4 linked regions of the Notamacropus eugenii genome follow. The protein of the gene in region 1 interacts with the protein of each later gene in a pairwise test. Links are inferred from orthologs where the notes say so. Each region holds a gene or a part of one and is shown in the gene's direction. Other genes may lie near its edges.

The links.
Region 2: the proteins of TNIK (region 1) and SRGAP3 interact in a two-hybrid assay, tested with the Homo sapiens proteins (2 studies listed by BioGRID and IntAct). The link is inferred for Notamacropus eugenii from reciprocal best matches to the Homo sapiens genes TNIK and SRGAP3.
Region 3: the proteins of TNIK (region 1) and AGTPBP1 interact in a two-hybrid assay, tested with the Homo sapiens proteins (2 studies listed by BioGRID and IntAct). The link is inferred for Notamacropus eugenii from reciprocal best matches to the Homo sapiens genes TNIK and AGTPBP1.
Region 4: the proteins of TNIK (region 1) and CNKSR2 interact in a two-hybrid assay, tested with the Homo sapiens proteins (2 studies listed by BioGRID and IntAct). The link is inferred for Notamacropus eugenii from reciprocal best matches to the Homo sapiens genes TNIK and CNKSR2.

Annotation. Positions count from the first base shown.
Region 1 is NC_092877.1:352,749,052-352,756,893, forward strand, and holds the start of TNIK (TRAF2 and NCK-interacting protein kinase), read left to right. Parts: upstream 1-4,826; 5' UTR 4,827-5,046; coding exon 5,047-5,103; intron 5,104-7,842. UniProt on the Homo sapiens protein: Serine/threonine kinase that acts as an essential activator of the Wnt signaling pathway. Recruited to promoters of Wnt target genes and required to activate their expression. May act by phosphorylating TCF4/TCF7L2.
Region 2 is NC_092874.1:436,048,127-436,055,645, forward strand, and holds the start of SRGAP3 (SLIT-ROBO Rho GTPase-activating protein 3), read left to right. Parts: upstream 1-4,506; 5' UTR 4,507-5,304; coding exon 5,305-5,371; intron 5,372-7,519. UniProt on the Homo sapiens protein: GTPase-activating protein for RAC1 and perhaps Cdc42, but not for RhoA small GTPase. May attenuate RAC1 signaling in neurons.
Region 3 is NC_092872.1:76,678,809-76,685,699, reverse strand, and holds the start of AGTPBP1 (cytosolic carboxypeptidase 1), read left to right. Parts: upstream 1-3,879; 5' UTR 3,880-3,965; intron 3,966-4,149; exon of another isoform or gene 4,150-4,383; intron 4,384-4,555; exon of another isoform or gene 4,556-4,721; intron 4,722-6,891. UniProt on the Homo sapiens protein: Metallocarboxypeptidase that mediates protein deglutamylation of tubulin and non-tubulin target proteins.
Region 4 is NC_092876.1:456,435,465-456,442,640, reverse strand, and holds the start of CNKSR2 (connector enhancer of kinase suppressor of ras 2), read left to right. Parts: upstream 1-4,171; 5' UTR 4,172-5,118; coding exon 5,119-5,182; intron 5,183-7,176.

The DNA of each region.
Region 1 (7,842 bases):
TTGCTAGTTCTTCTTCTCATCATTGTAACTGCCTCCTCAGCTAGACAGTGAGGTCCTCTCTCCCTTGCACCTAGCAGCTTTCTACATATTTATTGAACTAAAACACTAAATTCAATCAATCTCAACAAGCATTTACCAAAAGTCTAGTGTGTGCATGACGCAGTTCAAGGCACTGGAGATACAAAGGTGAGATCACATAGTCCCTGTCCTCAAGGAACTCTCATTTTGCAAATAAGTGTAATACAAAGTCTAAACTGATATGTGTCTGTATGAGTCAAAGGTATAACATAATGGCAAAAACACGAGAACGTGGTCTTAGGCTGCCTCAGGGGAGGCATACCAGAACCTTGAAGATGATTGTCTTGTATTCTACCTTGGTGAGAAACCACATTTGTTTAGGGCAGGTAGGTGAATGGTGGACCTAGACTTAAGACCTGAGTTCAAATCTAGTCTCAGATACCAGACGTGTGACCCTGGGCAAGTCACTTTATCTTGTTTGCCTCAGTTTCCTCACTTGTAAAATGAGGTAAAGAAGGACATGGAAAACCACACTAGTATCTTTGTCAAGAAAACCCAAATGAGTTCACACAGCTAGTAAGTGTCTGTGGTTGGATTTGAACTCAGGAATATGAGTCTTCCTTATCCCAGGCCTAGTGTTCTGTGCACTATGGCACCACCTAATGGCCCATTAGACATGTGCAAATAGTCACATACATTCATATATGTATATGCATATTCATATATGTATATGTGTATATTTTACATGTGTGTATGTGTTTAGAGAAGCAGCTGTTGTCAAGGTTGGGAAGTGTGTGGCACACTGCTTGGAGACTGATCCCACCCCTGTGCCCTCCCCAGTGGCTATGTGCTTCTTGGAAAGTCAGGACACTTCTCAAGACCCAGAGAAGGAGACTCAGGGCAAGGGTTGATCTGCATTGGAAGAGAAAATTTCCTCCTGGGAGATCCCTATACCAAAGCAATTATGCATCAAGTCCAAATAAAAAACACATATCCTCATGTTTACATGTATCCTCCCAGTATTCAATCAACTAACTATTAGGTAGTGAGGTATTACTCTGTGCTAAGTGTGAGGCCACAAATACAAACCAAAAACATTGGTGCCTGCGCTCAAGGGACTTATGCTCTAATGGGGGAAGGTAACACATTAAATGGTACTAAGAAGGGAGGAAGGAATCAAGGTATGATTTTGAAGCCTTCTAAGTCCTAAGGCACTGTGCTAAACTCTGGAGATGTAAAGAATGGCAAAAACGTGGTCCCTGCCCTCAAGAAGCTCCCCCTCTAATTGCTAGGGGCAGGGAGACAACATGCAGGTCCTTAGAAACAGGTTGTATGTTTGTTTTTTGTTTTAAATTTTTGTCTTTCTATCCTTTGCACCTTGTCCAGTTCTTTTTGTGGGTCCTTAATAAATAAATTGGATTGGAGAGGATTATGGAGGCAGAAAGGACAAGGCTTGGCAAATACTTGCTTTGGGGATAGGATGAGGCAGAATGACCTCACTGAGGTTGCAGACCTCACAGACTAGGTATAAGATAATATATATCAATGGACCCTGAATGGACTGGGTGAAATGGGCATTCTTTTTTCCCAGGGTTCTGAAGTGTAAATATAAGTCGATTGAGCTTGGTCCTCTTATTTAGAGGGCCCCCAAATTTCTGCCATTAATAAAAATATGATTTAGTGCCTTCCAGAGCCATAATTTTTGATATACTAACCTGGGTGCCTAAAGGGGTTATTTCAATTCTAAATGAAGTGATTTGTTCTCTCCTTTTTGGTGAGGGCTATTGTGTTTTGTTATATTCCAAATAAAATTAGGAATGGAAAAATATGCTACTGATTCAAGCAAATTGGTCATTGTTCCTCCTTTTAATACAAATTACAAATACCATATAAAATAATTCTGTTTGAACCCCTGCCCCTTCAATTTGTGATGTTATTTTCTCCAAAATAGACACTGATATTTTAACCTTAAATTAGATCTAGATAGGAAATTGACATGGGAGAGAATAAGGAAGGAAAGACAATTGCCTACCTCTTTCTGACATCACTGAGAGCTGTTGCATGTGACATAAATATGTGGGGAAATAGCTTAGAAAAAAAGATATAGATGTAGAGGTCAAAGGAACATTGGTGGTCAGGTTGTCTAACTCCCAGATTTTACAGACAAGAAACTGAGGGATCCTCCCCTCCCCCCAAAATACTTTACTGTAGATATTGTTCCCAGCAAGTTTCTTTGGAATTCCTTCTAAAGTCCCCCAATTCCAAATTTGAAGATCTTTCTCCAAGCAGAAAATACTTTGGACTTGTCTGAAGCTCTGGGTTCTAGAACTGAGCTGCTAGCGATGTGACCTTTGGCAAGTGATTACACCTCAATTCTCACCAAATCCTCTATCATTCTTCCCCTACTGGATTCTAAGCCCCTTCAGGGTAGGGAATGCTTTCATTTTTGTTTTCAAATCTATCAGAGAGTCTGACACACAAAAGACATTTAATACACATTTGTTGAACTAAATCTTTAGGAAAAAATGGAGAGAAGGATGGATTTGTTATCAGTCCCAATTCCTCCACTTCCTAGCTTTGTTACCTTGGAAAAATTGCTTAGTCTTCCTATACCTCAGATACCTCATCTGTAAAACCAGCAATTTGGCTTCAGTGACCTCTCAGGTCCCTATCAGTCCTAGATCTGATTCTATGATCTTACTGTACTTACCTAACTCCCAGGACTCTTGGTACTGTGGGTAGAGATAATATATGTGGAAGCTCTTTGTAAAGAATGTCATCTAACTATAAGTTACTATTAGTATTAATAACAGGTACCAGGCTTAAAGGCAAAACTCAGTCATGTGAATTTTGGTGGCAAGCGAGCTGGTGGATCAATCTTTCAAAATTCAGGGTGCATTATCATTTCTATTAGTCTTTATAAATACCAACATTAAACACAGTACAGTGGGTGCTGAAAATCATTTTAGAATGCCATGAATAAATTGCAAACATTTAAGCTACTGCCCAGACCTTTTTTTTCATTCACTCACTTGCTCATTCAAAAGCTTTACTCTGAAGCTGGTATTCTATCTTATGTACAAGCAAAGCCATTCAGAGCACTTGGCTCGAGTGAGATTGTTTCTAACAAAGGAGAATGGAACAATTTGAAAATTCACAATTCTATTTGGAACCAACATTCCATTTTCGTGTGCCCAGGGCCGTAGGGGAAGCAGCGCTGGGGGCTGGGGGTTAAGGGGAAGTGGCTTCACAAACCGCCCCACAGTATAGCAGCGCAGCGCTGTAAATATTTTGGATGCAGATGAGAAATTGGCAAAAAAACACACTCAGTCTCCCTCCTACACCTTGTATGTTGCGTGCTTCCTGGCAGGCAAACTTTCGCTCTCCATCTGTGTAGGTCAGCAATGAAACGCGGACAAAAATTTAAATCCAGGTTAGAAGCACTAATCAGCCGCTGCTGTCACAGGTACCTGGCGCCTGGATCGTCAGTTGGAAAGGAGAGTTCTCCCTAGTACCGGGCATTTCCCCCGGGGAACTGCAGGCATTGGAGGCCCAGAGGGTGGGGAAAGTGGGGAGGTGGGTGGCAATTTCCATTCTAGGGCTCATCACCCTTCCACCCCCACATCCTTTCTCAGCTTTGGCAAGATGCACGAGTGACCGTGAATAAGGGGCTAGGGGTAGGGAGCTGACCCCCATCCTGTTGCTTATGCAAATTTCAGCTTTGCCCTAGTAAGTGGCCTGGGCGCCGCGGTTGCCTACGCTATTGCTCCTTCTTTTCTTTCTTTCTTTCTTTCTTTCTTTTTTTTTCCTGTGCCGGACGTGTGCGGCCCACTGCTGGAGGCCGATCTCACCCCGGTGCCCTCCCCACTGCTCCATCAGTCCTTATATGCACTGGCTGCCGCGGCGGGCCAGGCTACTCCAGACTGCAAACAACAGTGGGGTTGGGGGATAATGGCCTTTATTTATTATCATAATTTCTTAAAACCATCGGGATGTGGACCCCGACGTAGAAGGCGAAGGCACAATTCGATCCCTGGTGAAGAATCTGTCTTTTTTTGCTGCAACGTTCCCCCCCAACACCGCCACCCCCAGCTCCGCAGCGATAGAATTTCTTCCCTTTTCTCTGACAGCCCCCACCCCCGCGGGTTCGCTGTATGCTCAGGCACGTTGTAGCAGCTCCAGCCCCAAAACAGGCGAACGTGCCGGGGACGTGGAGGTGGTGGTGGTGGAAAGAGGTGAGATGTCCTCCTCTCTGCCTCTCCAGTCCCCAAGAAGGGCTGGTGCAAGAGACTGGGTCAGGAAAAGCTGGGTCTATTGAGCCGGTGGAGGCCACGCCTCTCTCTCTCTCTCTCTCTCTCTCTCTCTCTCTCTCTCTCTCTCTCTCTCTCTCTCTCTCTCTCTCTCTCTCTCTCTCTCTCTCTCTCTCCCTCCCTCCCTCCCTCCCTCTCCCTCCCTCCCTCCCTCCCTCCCTCTCCCTCCCTCTCTCTCTCTCTCTCTCTCTCTCCCCCTTCCTCCCACCCCCCTCCACTCTTTTTTTTACTCCTCCCAGGAAGCTGTGATAGACACTTGTGTGCGGCGCTCTTCCCCCCATCTGAGTGGAGGAGTTGAAGTGTCTCATTATAACAGCCAATGCAGCGGCCATCCACGCACCAGCAGAAAAGCATGTCCCATTTAAATACACCCACGCAGCCTCGACTCCCTTAGCAGCGCTGCGCTGCCGCCTGGGCCGCTCTCAGCACCAGCAGCAGCCCACTCGTGCCTCCTCCTCCTCGCCCTCCTCCCCTTTCCCCTCCTCCTCCTCCTCCTCCTTCTGCTGCTGCTGCTGCTGCTGCCTGGCCGAGGCGGACTGCCTGGCGGCCAGACCTCGGTCCCTCGCTCTCCGCGGCGGCTGCTGCTTGGACTGCTGCGGAAGGTTGCTGGGGGGCACGACCCCCGCCCGCATGAGGGCGGCCAGCCCCTAGAACTAGGAGGCAATTCAGGGGACTGCCAGGGCACCCGGGGCTCGGTTTGCCCGGCAAAGGAGCCAACATGGCGAGCGACTCCCCGGCTCGCAGCCTGGACGAGATCGATCTCTCGGCTCTGAGGGTGAGCTTGGGCGCTCTCGGCGCCTGCCTTCTTTCTCCTCCCCGGGCGGCTGCATCCCACGATCTGGAGGCATCCATCCTTCGTGGACCGCGGCTGGGGGTGGGGGCGCGAGCGGCGCATGGAGGAGACGGTTGTGGGCTCGGGGCTTTAGAGGGACCTGCTGGGGGCTGTTTGCATTGGGAGCTGCTCTAGAGTCACTTGCCTCCAGGCTGGAGATGGATGCGTGCCGGAACGGACGGATGGGTGGATAGACAGACTGGGTTGCCTTTGGTGGTGGGGACTGATGCTTGGAAAGGGAGATGCCCGGGGGTGTGGTGTGGTGTGGTATGGTGTGGTTGGTGTGTGTGTGTGTGTGTGTGTGTGTGTGTGTGTGTGTGTGTGTGTGTGTGTGTGTGTGTAGGAGCAGCTCACGCCGCCGTTTACCTTTCGCACGGGGCTGTGTGTACAACACCCAGTTCGCCATTCCGTTTCTCTGAGTAAGGGCCACTGGCAGCCACCTGCTCCCGGATGCCCACTCCTGGCGGGCATCGGGCAAACGATGGAAGGCTCAGAGCTATTCCCCTTGGGCAAGAATACAATAGTAATCAGTGTTCAAAAAGGCTTCGCCCTCTCAGAGGCAGTCTGCCAGGGGGCTGCTGAACCTTCTGAATTTGGCAGACCGTATCAGGACCAGGGTCCTGATCAATCCGCTCCAGCTCCCAGTTTTCCTAGGGTGTCTTTCTACCTGCAGCCTGACATTAGAACCGAGACCTCCTTGAGTTCCGGGTGTCACCGGGAAGGGAAGGTGGCCCCGAACGGCTTCCAGGCTTCTAGGACGGCTATGCCAGACTTGTCCATACAAACATTTCCCGTCTCCTCGCCCTCCCAGCCTCACTCCCTGTCTGGCTTCCTTTAGGGAGCTCTTAGGGGCTTGCTTGCCCCCCACCCCCACCCAGTCACCTTTATTTATGCCTTTAACTCCGCCTTAGCTCAGGCTGCTGATCTGAGTCCATTGATATTTCAGTTTTGTGACAAGCAAAAGGGAAGATCCAGATCTTCGAGTGTGTGTGTGTGTGTGTGTGTGTGTGTGTGTGTGTGTGTGTGTGTGTGTGTGTGTGACCTGCTATCAGGCCAATTCACCTTTTTGGGAAACTCACTCAGATGCCGATTCTCTGTATTGACCAAGACATCCCTAAGATAGAATCCATTTTGTTGCCGCCGGGTGGTTTTTAACAGCCAAATATCAGAAACCCCGATGCTGGCAGGATGTTTTCTTTTTTCTCTCCCTCCCCCACACCCCAACACTTGAAGCTAAGGGGCTTTATTTTCTTGCCATTTTAATGAAACCCTGCCTACTGGAAAACTGGATGGGGGTGGAGGACTTCAGAGCAGAAGGAGGAGAACATTGGGGGCCGATTTAAGAAATGCTCATTAGCTTTGCATACTACAAAAATAGCATTTCCCTGTGTTTGATGTGTCCAGGGTCGGAGAAACTGAATGGGCAGGTACAGAATCCCAAATACCTATATGTTCTCCCTGGCGAGGGATAAAACCTGGTGCCCAAGGGATGCCAAATCTATTTTTTGAGGGGGGTGTTATTTCTTTATCGCTTTCAGAGCCCGAATTAAACTCCCTCTCTTTTCATATATTTTAGAGAGCTATTACTGTGATGGAGAAAATCTTGGCACATTTTTTTGGAATAACCACTCACTTGAATCATATCTCTCTCTCTCTCTCTCTCTCGCCCCCCCACCCCCTTCCTCTCCCTCCTCCACCACCCCTAACTTTCCCTTCTGATTCTTTTGGTCTAAGGGAGGGGAGAGGAGGGGGGCAGTTACTGACAGGTAGACGTCTGAAGGAGTAGGCATAACATTTGCAGAGATATGACCATTCAGACTTGGGGTGGGGTGTGGGGGAGTGGGTGAAGCTCATTCACCTTTTAACACAAGAAGGTTTTGGGAATCCTTGCCCTGGCACTGATTGCCACATTCAAAAGGGACAATCCCTGGTGACCATCTTGGCACAGCTAAGGAGCTCTGAGGTTGTGAGTGAGTAGCTTTTATCCTGAGGGTTTTTTTCTTTAAAAAATGCAGCTATTCCTATGTCCTACTTTCTGCACCCTTGAGTAGTGTGGCTGTAGGAGAGTGAGTGGTGGCTGCATAGCAGTTCAAGGTGCAGAGAAAATGGGAATTGGGCATCAGGGACTGGAACAATGGAAACCACAAATGCCATTTCCTCTAGGATAGTGATCCCAAGCAGTTCCCTTTGGAGAGAATTTCAAGTTGAGGGGGATGCATGCCTTTCTGTTGGTTCCCATGGAAGGTTTTGTACAGTTGAATCTGAAGGAATACAGAGCTACCTTGCAAGCATCCATGACCAGTGGGTAGGGCTGGTTTGATGCTGTCTCTAGTCACATTCTTCTTTCCTGTGTGTTTCACTTTCTTGCCTGTGTGTTTCAGAATACCTGGTTTGTATCCTGTACTGAAACTGACCAGCAAGCCTGAGGCTCGCTGCTCTGTGTTCCTTCTCTGGCATACTGCCAGGTAAGGGTGGGAGAAAGATGGCAATGGCAAAGCATCAAGGAGGAGAACTGGGAGGAAGGAGGCCTGGTTAGGGAGGAGTCCATGAGAGACACAACTTAAGCCCAGGCAGGATGCCAAGTTGCCCCCAAACTAGGATTATTCCTCTGGGGTCAACAGAGAAAACTGTTGGTGAGGAAGAGGGACAGAAAGACCGAATGACATCTTCTGGATCCTCACA
Region 2 (7,519 bases), on another chromosome or scaffold:
AACATTTTGAGTTTCAAATTCTCTTCCTTCCTCCCTCATTGAAAAGGCAAGCAATTTGATATAGGATATACATATGCAGTCATGCCAAACACATTTCCATATTGGTTACTATATAACTTCTTCCATCAGCATCCAGAACTGGGACTCAACCTTTTCTTCCATCCTGGTCCCCCTTTGGAAGTCGAAATGTGAAGCCTGGGGACCTCTTCTCAAAATGATGTTTTTTAATATATAAAATAAAACACAGAGGACTACAAAGGAAACCAATTATATCAAAATACAGTTATCAAAATTTTTATTTTAAAGATTATAGACCCCAGAGAAACAAACCCTGATGCACAGTCAGTTTTTCTGTTGCTTGAAGGTTATACCTCAGGCACATTGGAAAAATGGCATCACAACATGTCTCTAATTGGAGAGAAATGTGCTTTTGTGTGAGGCAGAGAGTTCTCCATCACTGGAGGTAGTCAAGCACAGGCTCATAATCCTTCAGCAGGGATGGTGTGGAAGACATTCATATTTTAGGCAGAAATTGTTCTAGGTGATCTCTGAATTTTCTTATAACTCCAAGATTCTTTGAAATATCTTCTCCCCACTCCCAAATGAAAGAAAGGAATTGAACTTTCTCAAGTGAATATGCCCAGCCAGGGCCATCCCAAGGATAACATGGATCATAGAATTAGAGCGACAGAGACTTGAACTGTCATCAAGTCTAACCTCTTCATCTCACACATAAGGCAACTGAAAGAGGTTATGTGACTTGCCTAGGGTCACACAGCTAATAAATGTTAGAGGCAGGATTTGAATGAAAGTTTTTTGATTCTATAACCAATGATCTCTCCATAGCTGGAGAACCTAGATGGAACAAATGACTCCTCTCCCTTGCCTTGGGAACAAGGTAAATTATACTCTGTACACTTCATCCTGCCTTCCCCCAAGCCCCCCCTGGAATCATAACAAAAGCCATTGATCAGTGAACAAGATTGGACAAATCAAGAGTCAGCATTGAAGGGGAAGAAAAGGAGCCAAAGGCGAGATGTCAGGAGAGAGTCACATGTAGCCTGAGAGGACGTGGAAATGATAAGGGGGAGGCAGACTTAGTTGCCAGGCAGCCAGTCCAGCCCACATCGCCTTGGTGACAAAAGAAGAGGAGGTGGAGGGGCTGCGAGTATAATAATAACTGATGTTTATTTGTACAATGCCTTAGCAATTACAAAGCACCTTAATTCACACAAAGCACACGTAATTTCACACTAATTCACAAGTCTGTTGAGGTAGGTAGTATAAGAAGGATCATTTCCATTTTACAGATTAGGGAACTGAAGCTCAAAGTGTTCTGCTCAAGTTCACACAGCTAGCAAATAGCTTTCTTACTCTAAGGTTCTTCCCACTATACTACAAGATTTCTTTTGTTTTGTTTTGAAACACCAGCTGATGGAGAAACCATTTCCTCCTCATCCTGGGAATGCAGATTTAGAGGTGGAAGGGACCCCAATGCCCACCTAGTCCAATTCCCTCATTTTATACTTGAGGAAATTAGTGACTTGTCCGAGGTCACACAGCTAGGAAATGACAGTGATGATTTGAACCCTGGATCCCTGACCCGGCATTTTTTTTTCAAAAGCATCCTCTCTTCCGCTTCTCAGTCTACCTGTTTTAGCCCCAGTCACTCATGTTACTGGGCTACTAAAGGATCCGGTGCCTTTAAGTAGGGGCCTAGATAATCACCCTGACTTGTTCTCTGGGTCTAGCTTTGTGCTCTGTCTTCACTACTGCCTTTTTTATGTCTTGGTATATTGGCTTAGCACGGAAGCATCCTGGAAACAGTTGCTGAGGGTTGATTTTTCAATGGGAGTCTGTGTTTGAAGTGTATGTGCCACCAAGGACACTGTGAGATAACTCTTGCTGGCCTTAAGGTTAGAAGATCTGGGTTCAAATGCCAATTGTGCCACTTGCTGGAATAATGGGAGTAAATGGGTGATCTGTGGGTACTCAAGGCTACTTCTGGTTGGCCATGTGATTTCTGGTCCAGCACTGAAGGACTATGTGCTTTGAGATGATGAAATACTTCTCTTATTGGACACTAAGCTGGGAAGAGAGGTGGCTGAGAGGTCAAAGAACTTGGAATCAGGAAGACCTGAGTTAAAATCCAGCCTCAGACCCTCACTAGCTACGTGACTCTGGACAAGTCACTTCGCCTCTGTTTGTCCAGTTCCTTCATCTGTAAAATGGGGATAATAATAACACCAACCTTCCAGGGCTGCTGTGAGGATCAAATGAGCTAATATTTGTAAAGTATTCTTAACACAGCAGGCACATGTAGGTGTTATATAAATGCTAGCTATTGTTATTTTTATTATGAAGAGCAGCCTCCTGACTCAACTTGTAAATGAGTAAAACTTTTGCTCTCATCTTCTTCTCTCTAGAATATGTGGCAAAGAAGTCTCCCGCTAGATTTTTGGGACTCCCTTGGGACTCTCTCCCTTTGAGGGAGGGAGGAGTACCTCCTTCAGGTGGTAGCAATGTCATCATCCTCAGGAGCTGTCTAGATGAGCCTGAGCCTTGGGTCCCTTATCTACCTTTCTACTTGTGCTTCTTTCCCCAAGAATAGGTGACATAAAAGCAGTCCTGAAATGGATTTTTCTAGACTTGGAGGCAACCTTCTGAATCTGAAAGACAGAGGGTTCCTCCATCGCTTGTTCTGAGTTGACTAGCAGCAGGAGTAAGTTTCTGCAATTATACTTTTCTCAGAAAAGATGGTGAGCCCAAGGCCTTGTTCTCCTGACCTGAAGACATATATCTTGAAGGAATTGTTTAGATGTTGCAGAGTCAAGGTGAAAGTGAAATGCCTAGTCAACTGTCCCACTAAGTGTTCTATGTTTTAATGTTCTAAGTATCAATCTTCTAGGAGAGTACTATTTAACAGAAGTTATGGGTTACAGTATCACACTTCATGTTTTTGCCAGTGCATCCTTATGAGTCTTTTGTGTTTTTAGCATTTTTCCTGTGTGTGTGAAATAAATAGCTGTCCTATATCTGATATACCTTGCACATCGATTATCCTTCTACTCCCTTTTGGGAAACCCTAAACAGAAGCCACACTTATGTTCTATTTGATTTCTTCCTAGGTTTTAGGATTGGGGTGGGGTGAGGAAATATGTGAAGAGCCAGAGACAGTAAAAAAAAAAAAAGGCTGATCCCTTTCTTTACATGAGAAGCTTCCCTAGAATTGAATAATAATAGTTAACATTTATACAGTGTTTTAATAATTATAAAGTGCTTTTGTAGATTTCATTTGATCCTCACAACAACCCACTGAAGTAGGTGCTATTTTTATTCCCATTTTACAGATGAAGAAACTGAACTTGGGAGAAGTTGTGACATTAAGTGGCTGAGGGAGTATTTAAGCTCAGGTCTTCTGGGTCTCAAATCCCATCCCTTTTGTATCTTCTGCTTTGCTTTGACAAATGGAGACCTTAAGACCATTTGTTAGGCTCTCTCTGCTTCTGAGAGATGTGCCAATCTGTCTAGGTCAACTGTTTTTCAATGGAATACTACCTAGCTGCCAAACTGTCCTCAGTCTGTTCATGAGCCCAGAGCTAGGGAACCCTTCGTGGAAAAGCGTAAGCCTCCCAGTTGTGCAGGGCACAGTGGGTATGTTGTTACAGAAACTGTATAGCCTTGTGAAAGTGTGTTACTCTCTGTGAATCTCAGTTTCCTCATCTGTAACAGGGGGCTAAGGATTTCCGTGGGTTCAAATACTTGGTCAGACACTAGATTGTGACCCTGGGGCAAATTACTTAACCACCCCCAGCCTCAGTTTACTCATCCCTACAATGACGAGATGGGTTTCAATAAATTCAGAGGTCATTTCTAGCTTTACATCCAGGATCCTATAGTCAGGCAAGGACAGACATGATCGAGGGTGCGAGAATAACTAATGTTTATATGGCATTTTCAAATTTACAAGTCACTTTACTTGGAATCTCACCACAATTCTGAGAGGTACAGAGCACAGATATTCTCCACATTTATGGATGGGGAAACTGGAGCGCAGAGAGGGCTAACTTACCCATTGCCACACAGCTGGATTGAATCAGAGGCAAGACATGAACCCAGGTCTTCCTGCCTCTCAGCCCAAGGCTCTAACTCGTCCAGTATACTGCCTCTGCACAAGGCGAGGGGAGGCGGGTGCAAATTTTGTGAAATCCACTGTGAGCTCCTGTCCCCAGCCTTCAAGTCTTCTCGGAATAAAGACCGTGAGTTTTCACGAGACAAAGTCATCTGGGAAACCTCCGAGGCCAGACCCAGGTTTTGCTGACCGCCTTCCTCTCTGCTTCCCTCGGTGGCCTCTCGGTCTGTGCTAACCTGCTCCTTTCTCCGGGTCGCGGTCCCTTTGGTGGGGCTTTTTTCCTTTTCGCTTGCAGTGAGTTGTGATGTCCTGTAGGCTACAATGTGTCAGTTGTTATAAAATCTAGGAGGTGGAGTCTGGCCCGTGACGCGACGCTGGTGGTGCTGGGGGGAAGCGAGCGAGCGAGCGAGCGAGCGAGAGGCAGCCCTGCAGTGAAAGCAGCTCCAGTTTGCAGCCCCCCGGCTCATTGGAGCCCATGCATTTCAGAAGGAAAACTTGTATTTCTCTCTCCTGGCTTTGATCGTCTCCATAAATCTGACCGTTGGAAGGACGAGGACGACATACAGAGGGAGGGAGAGAGAGAGGGAAGATGCGAGATGAGAGCCCCTCTGGCAACCTGACCATTTCTTTGGACAAACCTGGAGAGCTTTTCTTATCGGCTCTGGGAGCTGATTGCACGTCAAAGGAGGAGCCTCTGTGTGTGTGTATGTGTGTGTGTGTTGGTGTGAGTGCAAGGGTGTGTATGCATAGACCGCGATTGTGAGTGTGCATGTTGGAATGAGTGTGTGAGCGCTTGTGTGTGTGTGTGTGTTTGCATGTGCGCGTGAATGTTTTTGAGATATATATATATATACATACATATATTTAAAGAGAAGTCTGAAAAAACTGAAGCAGGTTGCTGTGCTTTTTTGGAGAGGGGGATGTCTACTCTTTTTTAAGACAAGCTGACCGAAGTCAGTTATTATCTGCTCCCCTCCTCCTCCCCCCCGCAAATGAAGAGAATTCTTCCTGCAAGCTAGAAAGAAGGTTTTTCCCCCTTTCCCCTTCTGCAGCCAAGTGAAACTGATTAGTCCCCAAACCTTGGAAATCGCCTTGACTCCTGCTATTGCTGGGAGGACCGGGGAAGAAATCGGGGGAAAAACAAATCGGGGTTGGTGCAGCCCCTTCAGAAAATGTCATCTCAAACTAAGTTCAAGAAAGACAAAGAGATCATAGCTGAATATGAAACACAAGTCAAAGGTGAGTTACCTTTTGACTTTTTCTTCCCCTCCCCCTCTTGATTTCTCTAGATGTAGTGGCGATTATTTTTCCTCCCATTTCCTACCGTCAAACGTTGTTATGCATCGATATTCTTATTGTGAGCATGGGTGGGTAGTGGCTGCACGAGACCTGGCTGGTTTCAGCTGCAGCAATGCAAGGGGCTGGTGTATGGATTCTAGGATGGATAGCAAAAGCTGCATTGCAGTTGTGTGAGGGTTGTCTGGTTGACTTGAGGAGCGCCAGTGTCAGTAAAATGCCTACTTCATCATCCTGATGGTGACATGTCACTCTAAAGCCATTTTGACAACCCGTGCTGTCCTCCCTAGCCGTCAGAGCCCTTCAGGGCTGGTGTCTTGGCAGATCTAGCTGCTTTTTTGCTTCTACCACTTTTCCCCCAGGGGTCAGGATTCATGTGTATGTGCACCTGGAAACGGTACACACACATTGCATTTCTTTGTCAATTTCTCTCTGCTGTGTTGCATTTCCATGGATTAACTGTTATGGGGACATATTGATCCAAACTAATGCAGGCATTTAGGCATAAAGAGACAGCTCCATGCAGAAATGTTCTATCTCACAGTGTGCAGCCAATCAGGTTTCCTGCAGCAGCATTTAGGGGCGTCTGTCTTCATTCAAAGGAAACAAGCCAGTGTACAGTGAGGGCTGAAGAGCCTCTGTCTGCAGTGGCTTTGGTGAAAGCTTGTCTTGAACTCAATGACCTCTGACTGTTTCTGAGCCTGGTCCAGGACCCATGCCTTGCTGATCGTCCTAGCCAACTGAAGGCTGACACAGATAGCTAGGTTTGCACTAGTGTTTGCGAAATTGAGAATTGCAAAAACCCAGTGTAGTTCAGATAAGAAGAGTGTTTTTTCCCCAGCCTCTCTTCCACCCCACCCCTTTTGCATCTTCTGCTTTGCTTTGACAAGTGGAGACCTTAACATCATTTTCTAGTCTCTGTATCTGCTTTTGAGAAGTATGTCAGAGGCCTCAGCTCAGCACTTACAGTTTAGCAATGATCTATTTTCTTTGGGGTCACTGTTCTCTTGCTACAATATGAAGGATCCCTCATGAGAGTAAAGAAAATAAATCTTCAGGGGGAGACTAAGGCCCGTCTTTCCTCCCACTGAAAAGAGCCATTATATGAGATCAGTATGTCTTGTGCTTATACCACCTGCCTCTCAGTTCCTTTCTGTGGAAGGACCTGGGAATTTAGGAAACCAGCCCCCTTAGGAACTGGAGGACCTGGAGAGTAGAGGGCTGCCCCTGAGAACTTCAAATGCTTGAGAAACTTTGGAAAAGGAGAGTAGTTATCAGGGGGAGGGCTTTGTTTTTCCCAGCCAGCCAACAATCCTTTTCTTTTCAATTCTGGCAAAAGGACGTTATGCTAATCATGGATAGACCAAGCTCTGGATGAAACTGATCAAGAAAACCTTCCCTTCTCCTAACCGCCTCCTTTGTATGCTGTTGTCTTGTGGAAAATAGTAACTTCTGATATGCCTGTCTCTCTGAAGTTTGGAAGACAAGCCCTTTATTGTTCTGAGAACTGGCTTGGTTGCCAAATAAAATAACTAGGCTTAGATTTGCATTTTCAATGAGGTTATTATTTATAAGATCTATTTTGCCTTTGTGCATATATACAGATACGTGTATGCATATGTACATATGTATATATATATATTTAGAGAGGATCTTACTTAAAATTCCGTTGAAGAGTTTTGGAAAGTCTTTCTCAGGTTTTCAACTCCCTCATAAGGTCCAACTGAGTCATAAAGGCTCTTATTCCTCTTTGAAAGGATTGGTCTTCACCACTACATCGACTAATTTTGCTTGATTTCCAGTCATGCCTTTATTGTCTTGGCTAATTATTGACCTGCCATCTTTATTTTAAAGAAGTAGCTAGCAAATACAAGATAATGAATTTGGACATGGATTTATTCCAAAGACACCATCCGTAATCCTAGTTTTTTGCACCCAAATTCTCCGATCCAATCCCTATCCCCGGCCTATGGTTTCACCAGTACTTGGAACTGGGAGAGTCTGTCTTGATTTAAGCACCACTGACATCTGTGGGACTCAGGCAAGGATAATTTTGCACACCGAAACCTTTGGAAAGCCCGCCTTTCAGAG
Region 3 (6,891 bases), on another chromosome or scaffold:
CATACACATACATAACATACATTGTCTCCCCCATTGAATTGTAAGCTTCTTGAGGGCTGGGACTGTCTTTTGACTTGTTTTGTCTTTTGTGTCAGTGTTAGGTACAGCACAGATTGGGTAGTTGGGTGCCTGTGCTTGGACTCCAATTCTAAAATCTCACCTCTCTCTAAAAATCACATTCCTCTCTAGCCTCAAAACACTATTCCAGGCAGTTTCTCCCCAGTCCAAGAACAACCTGTCCCAGCAAAAACCATTATCTTGCTTTCTGCTACAGTAGCCAGCTGCACCCATAGAATTTATTACTTTGAACCAGTTGTGTACTGGCTGAACTGGCTGTGTACTGGGTCATAACGACATTTACTACTCACTGACCAATCATAGGTACCCTAGATTTACACATACGTATACTCTTGTACATTTATCTTTTCTAACAAGACATTGATGAGAGCAGCCTGATATTACTTAGTCAGTCCTGATCATTAGTAGTCTTAGTGCCATTTCAGGTCTAAAATCACACCTTCATGAAGCCCCTCACCCCACCCCTCTTGCTCTATTTCTCAAAGAACTCTGGGTAAAATGCCTTCACAGTAGATACTAAAAGTGCATGTTCCTTTAAGAACTAACCACTCTTTAACCATACCTCAGTCCCTCTTGAATCACCTAGTCATCACGCTTGGCACATGTTTTACTATAGAATATACTATATGAACTTTACGTGTACCCCATTCAAATCTCAGGTGCCCTAAGAACCCCTGCCCACTGAAAAGTGTAGTAAGTCTTTACTACCTTGACCTCAAGAATGCTTGAGTCTGGAATTCTTTTCCAGATGACCCATGGAAGGGAACTCCACTCATTCCTCTATCTGTCCAGCCCTCATTAGCACCTGGCATAGGGTAGATGCTTAATAAATGTCTCTTGATTGATTGATTGAGGAACAGAAAGAAGGAGAACCAGGGGAGGGAAGTGCTATAGAAGACAAGAGAGGTAAGACTAACAGAGGTCAGATGGTCAACAATGTCAAATGCTATGTAAAGTTTTCCCAGGATGAGGATTGAGAAAAGGCTATTAGATATGATCTTTAAAAGGTGAGTGATGACCACGGAGAGAACAGGATCTGTAGACTGGTTTGGATGGAAGCCAGATTGCAGGAGTGGGCAAGTTGTGAGGAGGTGGAAGGGAGGAGAAGCTGTCCAGAAGTTTAACATCTTAATGGGAGGAGAGATGGATGACTGTGAAGGTTGGGTTGGGTTGAGGGAAAGTTTTGACACAATATTCTCTGAGGCAGGTAGGACATGTAATACCTTCATTTTATAGATGCTGAAACTGAGGCTCAAAGGAGTTAAGTAGGGACAAGTCACTCCATACCTCTGGGCTCCAATTTCATTTGTAAAATGAAGTGATTGGACTTACATCTGTCTAAACCTTATGGTTCAGCCAGTCAGTCAATAAACATCTATTAAGATCATACTATATACCATGCTGTGCTAAACAAGGGAAATACAAAGAAAAACAAAGAACTCGTTTTGTTGGGTAGGGCAACATGCAAAAATTTATGTATACAAAATACAAAGTATAAATGGAAGGTAAGTTGAAGGGGTAAGGCACTAGAAATTGGGAGAGTGAGACCTGGAAAGGCCTCAGGTAGAAGGTGGGATTTGAGCTGATTCTTGAAGGAAGTCAGTAGGCAGAGGTGAGGAGGGAGAACATTCTAGGCATATGGGAAAGTCATTGAAAAAAGGTGAAATTCAGTGTTATACTTCCTGCTAGTGAATGGTTTAGCTGGGACTTAAACTCTGGTCTTCAAGCTTCCAAATTTGATGCCCTTTCCATTATCACTTTAGAAATAGGAAAAAGAAAATCTCAACTTTTATCATTACCAGAACATGTTTGAACATGGTCCTTATCAAACATTTTTTGAACCAAAACTTTGGTGTCTTAATAAAGTTGCCCCTCAGCCCCAATATTCTAACTCCCTTATGGGCCCCACTGACCAGTAGTCATGTCCTGATTTAACCACAAAGTCTGGCTTTAACCACATCACATGCCTCCAGACTCATTGCAGCCACTGCCCCCAGATCCAATTCCCATATTTGAACTGGTGTGTTTTTGTATTCAACTACAATCACATCATTCATTTAGCCCAAAACAGGATCACAGTAGCTAGCCAATCAGAAGGTAGCAGGACCAGGATGAATGACCACCTAGGGACCCTTCCCCTATTACAAACTCCTGTCTTTTAATATTCATGATTTCTTTAATATACTTGTTGCTTTCTCTGAAGTTGTTGGTTCCTCTTGGAACTTAGCCCACTTCATGAGATATTTCAATCTTCCATAAATGCCTATACTTGGATTAGAGTTGATCTGACTGAATTCTTTGAGAGGGTGCTGCCAAAACATACCATGAAGCCTCATCACATGCATAAAAGCATAATCCACAGAACTCATTAGTCTAGTCTGGAAAACAGTGTTAATTGCTTGATGATGAGATTTTTTTCCCCAGACAAACAAAAGAACAACTCTACGTGTTATAGGATGTTCTTTCTTCCCTCCCTCCCTCCCTTCCTCCCTTCTTCCCTTCCTTCCTTCCCATATTGCAACTCTTCCACATCTTAGTAGACATTCCATGAGTTCTGATTTAGAAAAATTCACCTCCTAGTGGCCCCACCCTGGCCAATGAACATTTCTGAATCTAAGCCTTCTTTTTGTATATACAGATATACAGGCTATCATTTCTTTTGTACAGAATACTTAATCTAATCTTAAATATACATATTGTCTCCCAAGAATAGGAAGTAAACTTCTTGAGGGCAGGGACTATTTCATTTTAAAAATTTATATTCCCAGCATCTAGCCCAACACCTAGCATATAGCAGGCACTTAATATATGTCTGTGACCTGATTCATCAGTGTCTGGGCTAAGACTTTCTAGCTTGCTAAAACTTTTTAGAATTTGTGCTCTACTGGAACAGCTTTCAAAAAACACAGGGTCGTGTCCATGCTCTAATAAGGCAACAGGAGCCATCAGGTGATGATTTGTTATAACACTATTTCGTTTGTTTAGCGTCGTTCATGAAAAAGAAACCAAACCAATAACCACCGAAGCATGGGTTCTTCCTTCGTGGCGGGAAGAAGACCATGCCATCAGAGAAATAACGACATGATTTGCATTTGACTTTGTTTTGAGGGAGGGAGGGCTGAACCACACCTCTTCTGCCTGCTGCAACCATAGGTTTCTACATTCCCAGAAGTCTGGCGGTAAGGAGTAATTTCACACCATCCCTTCGGAGCTTCTTAGAACGGGCTTTCTCCACGTGTGACTGCTTTCAACAGATTCACAGAATCTGGGAGCTGGAAAAGATCTCCTCCGCCTCTAATCAAACCCACATCTGAAAATATAATTTACATTTTGTATGTATGCAAAGTACACGAAACAATATATGCTGGTTGTGTATTTGCCCGTATTGTCTCCTCTTTTTAAGTGTTATTCCCCTTCCAAGAAGCCTTAGATCTTTGCCATTTAATTCAGTGTGTGATAGTTCTGTACACCCAATGGGCATTAAAGAAGTCACGTCTGAGGAATTCCACGCTTTCGGGTGGGTGACCAGTACGGTTAGTCCCAGGAAAGGTGTGCTGTTTGATCCCAGGAGCACACGGCGCGGTCATGGGCAGCATCTGGCACATGCATGCAAAGAGGAGCTGAAGAAAGGCTAGGACAGCCTCGCGAGCCAGCAGTCCTAGCGGGGAGGGAGGTAGGCAGCGCGTGCCAGCAGTTGGCAGTTCGCGCCTCCCGGCGCCGGTCCCTGGGGCTGGGTAAGGATGGGGGTGGGGTGGGGAGGAGGCTAGGCCTACGGGGCCCAGTATCCTCATCATTTTTCGATGCCCCTTCTGCCCCTTGCCCACCCCACACTACTCCTCCTCCCCACACACTTTGCCCAAGCCCGTCTTCAAGACGACCGGGAATGGGTAGGTGTCAGAGGGGAAAGCCGGGAGGGGCGGGGCGGCGAGGCACCGTGACAGCGCGTGTGCTTTCCCCCCGCCGGAGAGGAGACGGGGGTGGGGGGTGGGGGTGGGGCGGCGCGTGCTTCCCCCTCCCCCCGGAGTAGGGGCGGGGGACCAGGGGGGCGGGAAGCCGGGTGGGGGCGGGGCGGGGCGGCGCCGTGACGTTGCCCGGGATGCGGGCAGGTTCCGCCGCCGCCGCCGCCTTCTCCTCCTCGCCTGCTGCCGGGGTTTGTATGAAAACACCGGGCGGCCGGCGGCGAGTGACCCGTGGGGGCCTCCGGCCTAAGCAGCCCCTGCCGCCGCCGCCGCCCGAGCGGGAGCCGGAGCCGGAGCCGGAGGCCGCCCTTCCTTCCAGGCCCGTCCCTCTCCCCGCCCAGAGCCGGTAAGAGGAGGTGTCGGCCCCGCTCCCCTCCCCGCCCCCAGCTCTGCGGCGGCGCCGCGGGGGCCCCTCACCCGGGCCGCGCTCCGGGGGCCGGACAGGCCGGAGCGGCCCAGCGTGAAGCCTTGACCAGCGGCTGGGCGGGCACGGGAGGCAGCGGATGCTCGGGGTGGACGGTCTCGGTGTTGTGGTGGAGGAGCAGGAGGAGGAGGGAGGAAGAAAGAATCGGGTGGGGGGGCCCAGAGGTGGGTCCCGGAGACCCTCCCCGCTCCGGCCCTGCACCCGCAGCCACGCAGGGTTCGGACCTTCAAGGACGTGACTGAGCTTTTTCTTTTTTTGGGGTGTGTGTTATTTTTGTTTGAGGAAGCGGGGGGAGCCTAGGTAGGCCGGGGGGTCCCCGCCTCTCCGGGGAAGCCTCCGAAGTGTCAGGTCCCCTGCCCATCGCCCTGCGTGGAGTGTCCTGGGAGGAGAGAGCAGTGAGGCAGCGCAGGGGGTGCCCCCGTGGCGCTGTGGCAGTGCGGGTCCGAGCTTCGCGGGGCGAGCTGCGGGGCTGAGGGGCCCATCCCTGCCCAGCCCCGCTTTGCTTTGTCAGCCTCCATTCGCGTTCTTGGATCCCCTTCCCTTTGGAAGCCTTTGGGGATCGGGGCGGGGAGAAGGAAGGCCATGTGCAAGCTCCAGCTGGACGTCTACACTTCTTTCCCGGCTGGGTTTGCGGGGAAGCGAGTATTCTGTTTACTACTACTTGTCACCTTGTGGGTTTGGCTCGAGCAATCTTCCGTTCACCCCAGATGACAGTGCATAGTTGTCCTCCTCCCCTCCCTAGGTACTCCTGAGGAAATTGCGAGTCGGGCACTAACTAAGGAGCTTCGGGGGTGTATTTTTTTTTTTTTTATCATTCATGTTCCGTGTTTCAGTCTCGGGTGTGTCCCTTTCATTGTGTTAGGCATGCGGTGGTGTTGGTATTGGTGGGTAGCCTTCCTATGGCTTTTTCCTACATATACTTGTGGCATTCCGTCGTGATCTGGAAGGAGTACTGACTCTGGAGGCTAGCGGATGGGGGGGCAGGGAAGGGGGGTTCCAGCTCCTGCTTCTGCCTCTCACTACCTGGTTGACCTTGGACAAATTTTAACCTTCCCGGACCTCCATAAAACGAGAGAGTTAGACTCCATGATGGCCTTTGTGGCTTTTCATTTTCTGTACCATTTTTAATTAAAGTTTTTGGTTCCAAATTCTGTTCCTCCTTCTCTTCCCTTCCTCTCCCCAAGATAAGCAAACAGAGGCAATAAATGTACAATTACGTAAAACATTTCTAAACTAGTCATCTTGTACAAGAAGACTCTAATAAAAGAAAAAAATAAAAGTGAAAAATAGTATGCTTCAGTCTGTATTCAATCAATATCAATTCTTTTTCTGGAGGGGGATTGTAGGCTTCATCATTAGTCCTTTGGGATTGCTTTGGATCGCTGTATTGCTGAGAATAGTTAAGTCATTCACAGTTCTTCATCGAACAGTATTTCAATTAATGTGTACAACGTTCTTTTGAGTCTGTTCACTTCACTATGCATCAGTTCATGCAAGTCTTTTCAGGCTTTTCTGAAATCCTTCTGCCTGTTATTTCTTATAGCACAGTTGTATTCTGCAGCCATTCCCCAGTTCATGGGCATTCCTTATTTTCAATTCTTAGTCATTGAGGTCTTTTTCTACACTAAACCTATATTCTGTGACGTCCTACTTTTTAGAGTATTGTTGAAAACCCAACCCTCATCCCCACCCCCCTCCTCATTTTTCTGATATTGCTTGTGAAAGGTTTATGATCCAGCAGTGTCGATGACCTAAAACTGTATGATACTTGCAGGTAGTATTGTACTGTATTTGGATGCATTTTTGGGTTGTGTTTGTAAAGTGAAATTATTCAGCAGTTTTTAATCATTCATTTTTAATTAAATGTCAGTTTTTCCATTTAGAGTCAGTATCTTTTATTTGTAAAGATTAAATTGGGTAGATTTGATATTTGAATGTTAGACTACATTACCCCTTGAATGTAGAAACAGAATTATTCTTTCTACAAATTTCCTTTGTGTCAAGACAATTGGAAATTTGTGCTTAATAAAATAAATAGAAACAATTAGCATTTTCCTTTATCATCTGCACTTAGGATAAATTAGTTTCACCATAGTACAGCTTTACTAGCTTAAAATGGCACTTTTGGGACATCCTGTTTTGCTTTTAATGTTATAGATTAAAGAAAAAATTAGTGACTTCCTAGAGTATCTTTAAAAAAAAAACATTGAAAATATCTTACAAGTCTTTTTTTTTTTTTTTGATGCAACCTTATTGAAACAGTTATAGTATCCTTTTCCTCTTCATTCCTTTAAAAAGATTTGGAAAAATTTATTCAGAGACCTGATGTAACTTATCCCTTACATCAAAAACCTTCACAACTTTCTCTCTACATTCCTATGAAGTAACGGACCCATTTTGAATGACTTCACACTATTTCCTTGAAAAGAT
Region 4 (7,176 bases), on another chromosome or scaffold:
TTCTAGTTTAGACCTGTTGAGTTTGAGATACTTGCTATGACTCTGTGTTACAATTGTACAGAGGGCCTTCATTGATCTAATTGTCTTCAGGGCTCGTTAACGCCCTTCAGAATGCCATGCAGAATGGCTGCATGGTATAGTGACTGGAGCTCTATCATGTCAAATCTTGCCTATGTCATAAGCTATCAATGTGACCTTAGAAAAGTCATTTAACTTCTCAGTGCTTCTAGGCAACTTTCTAAGATTAAAAGTGGCAGAGTTACTTTTTTTGTGGTGGCAAAGAACTGGAAGTTGAGGGGATGCCCATCAGTTGGGGAACAGTTGAACAAGTTATGGTTTATGAATATAAAGGAATACTATTGTTCTATAAGTAATGATGAGCAGGCAGATTTCAGAAAAACCTGGAAAGACCTGCATGAACTGATGCTGAATGAAGTGAGCAGAACCAGGAGAACATTGTATACAATAACAGCAACATTATGCAAGTATCAACTTTGATAGACTTAGCACTTCTCAGTAATGCAATGATTTAAGACGATTCCAGAAGACTCATGGTGGAAAATGTTATCCACACCCAAAGAACTTTGGAATAGGAATGCAGATAGAAACCTACTATTTTCTTTTTTTCTTTCTCATAGTTTTTTCCCCTTTGTTCTGATTCTTCTTTCACAACATGACTAATGTGGGAATATGTTTAACATGATTAACATGTATATTAATATGTATACCCTGTATCACATTGAATGCTGTCTTGGGGAGGAGGAGCAGAGAGGGGGGATCTTTTAGAACTCAAAATTTTACGACAGTGAATGTTGGAGTAGTAATAAGTAAATTTTTTAAAAATAAGTCTTTTTTGAAAAAATGGCAGAGCTGTTATAGATATGAATTTACACACACACATAAATCATACTGATGAAAATATGGGTCTAATCTAAAAAAAAATCGTTAGGTAAGCTAGAAGTTTATTTTTTATATGTGTTTTTATTGTAAAAGTTTCTTGGACTGAAATGTGCTTTTTGAAATGTCCTATAATACTGTTCTTAGGGTCCATGCCAGGAGACTAATTTATACATTGGCAGTCTTGGATGAAGCCAAAATAAACAGAATTCAGATTATAATGAATACCCCTTAGAGTTATGGTGTATTTCAACAAGTCATTTGTTTACAAATAAATTTTCCCCAGATACCATGTCTTGCTTCTCAGTCTACATTGCTATATAAAATTGGAAAGGGTCCATTTTGTATCATCTAGAGATGTTTGATGAATGAAGAAATGTTGCTTCTCCCCTAAGTCACCTTAAACAAACTTAAAATCCTCTTTCACTTGGGTTGCCAAACTTAATTGAAATCACTGGTCTTTCTCAAACCCAAGGTGATTTTTTCCTCCCCAAATACATTCAAATGGAATAAATCAGTCAGGCCCAGTGACTAAGGTTTGACTTAGCAGCTTCAATACGTCTACCTGCTTCATCATCCTTCCTCCAAACCTACCCTGTCTCACACCTGGTGATGGGGTAAGGGGAACACAAGCTCATTTAGGTGAAAGAAATGTGTTACAGTGGATAGGGGGAAGAGTACTATTCTAAAAGCCAAGGTAGCTGGATTTCACTCTGGGCTCTACACTTGTTTTACTAAATGATCTTGGACAAATAATTTCATGAAGGACTTGTTTACCTCTGAGGGTTGGATTAGGTAACATTTAAAGTTTGTTCTAGTTCTTGGTGCATGGTGGGTTGGGTATTGAACTTGATATCGTGAAGTCCTGGGTTCAAATTCTTACGTAGTACTTAGAGTACCTTTGCGACTATGGGCAAGTCACTTAATCTTTTTCAGGCCTCATCTCATCTGGATTTATAATAATAGCTATAGAATTTATATTATAGGATTGTTGTGAGTTTCAAATTATTTAAGTTATTTTTCAAAAACACTGCCGAACACAATAGAAATGTCGGTCATTATTATAAAAGTCTATGAAAGGTGCTTGTTCTACATTTCCAAACAGCAGACACAGGAAAGGGACTATGGCAGTAAGGAATTTTCAGTAATGTAACAAGGTATGCAGTATATGAGTAGGAAGGTAGGGTTCTTCAAGATCAGGATAAAAAAAATATCTGTCGTTGTGAGTAGAGAAGGCAAGGTCCTAGAGCTCTTTTATTTGTCTTATATTTCTTTCTTTTAAAAAAAACACTTAAACTATGCTTGATTTAGTGGTCAATGTGAATGCTGAAAATCAGCTGAAATGAAGACTCAAATTACTGTCTATTTGTAGTCCCACCGTTATCCTCCACATGTCACTTATATAGATCACTGCCTTCAGTTTTGACTAAATCAAATCTAAGGCAAAATCCAAATTTGGGACATAAGATTCTATAAATCCCTGTATAAAGGAATTTTGCAAACAGAAGTGAATGTTAAATTTCTGTACCTAAAAGGAATGGGTATAAAACTAGATAATATTTTAAAAATAAGCAACTTCTAAAGTTATTGTTTTTTGCATAAATATGCATAACCAATAATCATTTATTAATCATCTACTATATGTCAGACACTTCAGCACTGGGGATTTAGAAAAAGATAAAATACAATCCTCACCCTTTGGGAGCATAAATATGTACTTTTATATCTACATGTCTCTATTTCTATACATATAGATATATGTATGTATTTATGTATGCATAAATATAGTCAATAGTTAAACATTTATTATGTATGTACATATTCATACATATAGTATACCTCATTACTTATATTAATATAGCTAACATTTCTATGGAGCTTACCATGTGCCATATCACAACAACCCTGAGAGTAGGGGTTACCATCATGCTTATTTTACCGATGAGAAAACTGAGAAAAACAGAATTTAAGTGACTTGCCCAGGGTCACACAACTAGTATCTTTCCATTTTTCCCAACTCCAGGTCCAATGCTATACCCACTGCTCCACCTATAAAACAAAGAATGATAACTTCAGAAGCTAATGTTTTTTTTTTATTTCTAAATCCAAAATTGTGAGCTAACTTTTTGTTTTTAACATCAGTTCTCTCTGCAAAATCCTATAACATTGGGGTCTTACAGAACTTAATTTCCCAATAATGCTATAGATAGCTATATAGAGATACGTAAAAGATAGATGATAGATAGATAGAGTGGATAATGGATGGATGATGGATGGATGGATGGATGGATGGATGGATGAGAGGATGGATAGATATATGTGTGCGTGCATGCACAATACGTATGTGTATACATGCTCATGTGTATATATGTATATATCAGAGAGAAAAACAGCCGGATATATGTATCTATGGCTATATGTGTGTCTCAGTGACTGTATAGGGGTGATTATATATGTATATATCCATACACATATAGCCATTGATACATATATCTATATATACACACATGTATGTATGTAAATATGCATTTCACAAAAAGAAAAAAATCTTAGTCCCATTTCAAAAAGGGGTGAAATAAAACCGTCTCCCCACTTCCCATTCCCCCTCCCCATACCCACTTATCACTAATAATGGTTTCTGGCTACCGTAAATTACGTTAAAAGCTCAGAAGCGACTACTGTGGCGGTTTGCTCCTCGTAGAAATTCCCTCCGTAGCCCGCTTTGTAATCGGGAAGGAGGAAACCCCCGCCACCGCTGTTTGGCTGTGCTGCAGCGGTTGTTGATGTAATCTCTTTGCCCAGTGGTGTTCCCCATCGCTTCCCGCTTCCCCCATTCCCCCCCACCCCTTTTCCTCCGGCAGACGGAGACAGAGTGCAACTCTTCAGCCACAATAAAGGCTTTTTGTAACTCGATACCTTTGCCCACTAGAGCTGAACTGCTAGAAGGAGAGGGGTGTGGGGATAGGGGTTGGGGAGGAGAGGTGGGGGAGGCTACCGATGCGCCCCTCGCCTTCAGTTTCCCTTGGAATCGTGATCTCTCCCTCTCCCCATCAAGCCCTTTCCTCCCACTGGGGCCTCCAGCGGAGGCTGCTGCTGCTGCGACTGCTGCTATCACAGCTGCGGTTAGAAGTGCATCCCAGGCTGTGGGAGCTCATTTGGAAGATGCAGGTGGTGTTCCTCTGGTGTGGCTGGCCCCCACAGTATTGGACCTCACACACACACACACACACACACACACACACACACACACACACACACACACACACACACACACACACATACTGCTTCGTGCTTTAGTTGGGTTGCGGGTTCTCTTCTCGCCCCCTTAGCATCTAGAGAAGAGAGCTTTGGAGGGGATTCTCCCTATCTCTCCCCCTCTCTCCCATCGCCCTCTCCTCACTTAAGGGAGCTGGAGAGATATTTTGGTGGCAAGAGGCACCTCGTCATTTCCGCTAGCCTGTGTGCTGTGCCTGGGGTTTTAATCTCCTAGCCAGAGACAAGTCTTGGAGTTTGGGGGTGGGGGTGGGGGGCTGGAGCTCTTGAGAAAGAGAGAGCCATCAAGGCACTACTGAGTTATAGGAAAGCTCGCCTTCCAAGCCTTGGTCGAGCAGCCTCCCGCCAAGACGCCCTAACCTAACCCTAGCCCTGCTTAAGGAAGCAACACCTAGGAGCAGCGGTGGTGGCAGCAGCCACCAGCAGCCGCAGCAGCAGCAGCAGCAGCAGCCACCAGCAGCAGCAGCGGGTGAGGGCAGCAGACGTCTGAGCGTGCTCAGCGTCCCCCTCCTTCCCCCCCACGGGAGAAGACAGCAGTATGAATTGGAACCCTACATAGAGAGAGAGAGAGAGACAGACAGAGGAACGGAGAGGAGGAGGTGGGGAAACAGCTGAAGGGACTGAGCAGAAGGAGAAGGAGGAGGAGGAGGAAGAGGAGGAGGAGGAGAGCTGCGATTCGGTGGCGTCTCCCTCCCTCTCCCGGGCTGGGCTGCCTGGCGCTGATGCTCTAGGTTCGCTGAGAGAATTTGCAGCAGGGAGTGCTACCGGGAAACCTGATACAATAAGGCAGTCTGCTTCCCTTCCCTCGACTCCCAGCCATCCATCTACCCAGAGAGCACCCTATCCTCTCTGCGGGAGAAGAGGAACCAGAGGGGAAAAGATAAGATTTCTAGGGTGCTTTTTGCTTTTCGAATTCTTCGCCTGACAAAGAAATCAATCCCATTCCCAATGGCTCTTATAATGGAACCAGTGAGCAAATGGTCGCCGAGTCAAGTGGTGGACTGGATGAAAGGTAATTCCGATGGTTAGACTGTGAGGTTTGGGAAGAAAGGGGAGGGGACCGAGGAGGAATTCTTCCTTTAATCAGTTAATTAGTCGCATTTTCCTTAATTTAGAAACATTAGCACGGCATCGCTAATAGATATTGAAATGCGTTTTATCAGCGCCTAGGCATTTGTTTTGGATTCCGAGTGGAATCTCCTCTTCTGGCCCAGAGACCTATGGATTACCCACCCACCCACCACCCCGCCATCATTTTGAATGAGGTGATCGGATGCTTGGAGTCTTCTCTTGACTATCCTTTAATGTACTACCCCCCCACCCCCCACCCCACAGTAAACCCCCATCTTCTTGTTTTGATTCAGTCATCCAAGCTGGGGCCCTCTCTCTTCCTCCAGTAGGGCTGCCAGGCAGGTGTGCTTATGCGAGAAAATGAGGGGTCTCGGGGCGGGGGGGGGGGGGGGGTGTCTACGGAAAGGCAGACCTCTCTTGCACAGGTTTGGCACAGGATAAATCCGGCCACAGGGGAAAAATCTCGCTGGCGCAGAGCTTGCCAGGGATAGAGCCCATCTGGGGATGCTCGTGCGGGGGCGATGAGAAAGCTCACACTTTCTAAATGATCTGCTGTCTCAAGCAGGTAGCAGAGTGGTTTATCTGTGTAACCTTTTAATCGTGCGTATTACAAGTCTCCTCTTTTCCTCCTATCTGTTACAGTTACAGGAATAAGAAGGAAAATCATGAACGTGAGACTCCTTCAAACTGTTGTTTGTTTATTTTTTTGGTTTAACGTCTACCTTCTAAGATCCCAGACACTCACAGGAAATCTCTCGCTAAACTACCTTCTCTGCACCCCCCCTCTTTTTTTGGCTTTTCTTAGTTTCTCTTCCCATCTTTCCTTCCCCTTCGACCCTCTAATGTGCTATTTCGGGACAAATAGAACACCAATTCTAAGGCGATACTTAGAAATGATGGGGTGCTTCAGCGGTGTCACGGCTGGTGCCGCGGTGGCAGAGGCTGCAGGGCTTTCCCCAGAGTCCACGTAAAGGATGCTCACCCGGGCCCTGGAGAATTGCTCTGCTCTGTAATGCACGATGCCAGTGCGCTACAAGAGACGCGGGAGAATTTCCCTCTGGGACCCGCCAGGCAGGCCGAAATCAATTGTTTTCAGTGCTGCCAATTCACCCCCACTCCCACCCCCTCCCCTTCTGGTTCACTGCAGACTGGACTCGATCAAAACCCTGAAGCGGCTGATGCTTATTTATATGTCGCTGATGATGCATTACGATGTCAGCAACTGCCCCAGAGTGTAACACTTCTCTCTCCATTTGCAGTCTTTCCCCCCATCCTGTAATATTGCTGCCTCTTCTTATCCACATTTGACATATTTAGTATTAGGTGTAAATATATAGAGATGTCCAACCCCAAGTGGATTTTATTAAAAGACAGAGTTCTAAAGAATCAGAGTACATCTCAGCTATCCTTATTTTCCCTGGGACCTTTTTTTTACAAGAGTAGGCATTTCTCCCCTACACGTATACCTCACTAGCACAACAAAATCCCATATTACCTAGTACTAAAATGTTGGGGAGCTTAAGGAGAGAAAGGGTTTTATCTGAACCCACACAACATGTGTCTTTTATGGGCTTATGAATTTGAAGATGTCAGACAAGACATCTGACAAGAGTCGTATTTATCCAAAAGTACAAATACTCTAGATAGAAGCTCACAAGACTGCTTATCATTGATCATTTATGTGTGTGCTTTAATACAGAGATAAGGTACCTTGACTTTCTGTGTCTCAGGTGAGTAGGCACAGCCCAGAGAGGACTGAAGAGATTTCCTCTCCCTCCCCCCATACAATTTTTTTTTCCCTTTTTGATAATTTCTTATTTCTTAGTGTGGGATTTTTTCCATTTAGTTTGTTTTTCTGACCCATATGTCTTTGGTTTCTTGTTTTGATACTCCCCTCATAGACTTTCTGGTTTTACCCTTCATCTTTCCTCTTTG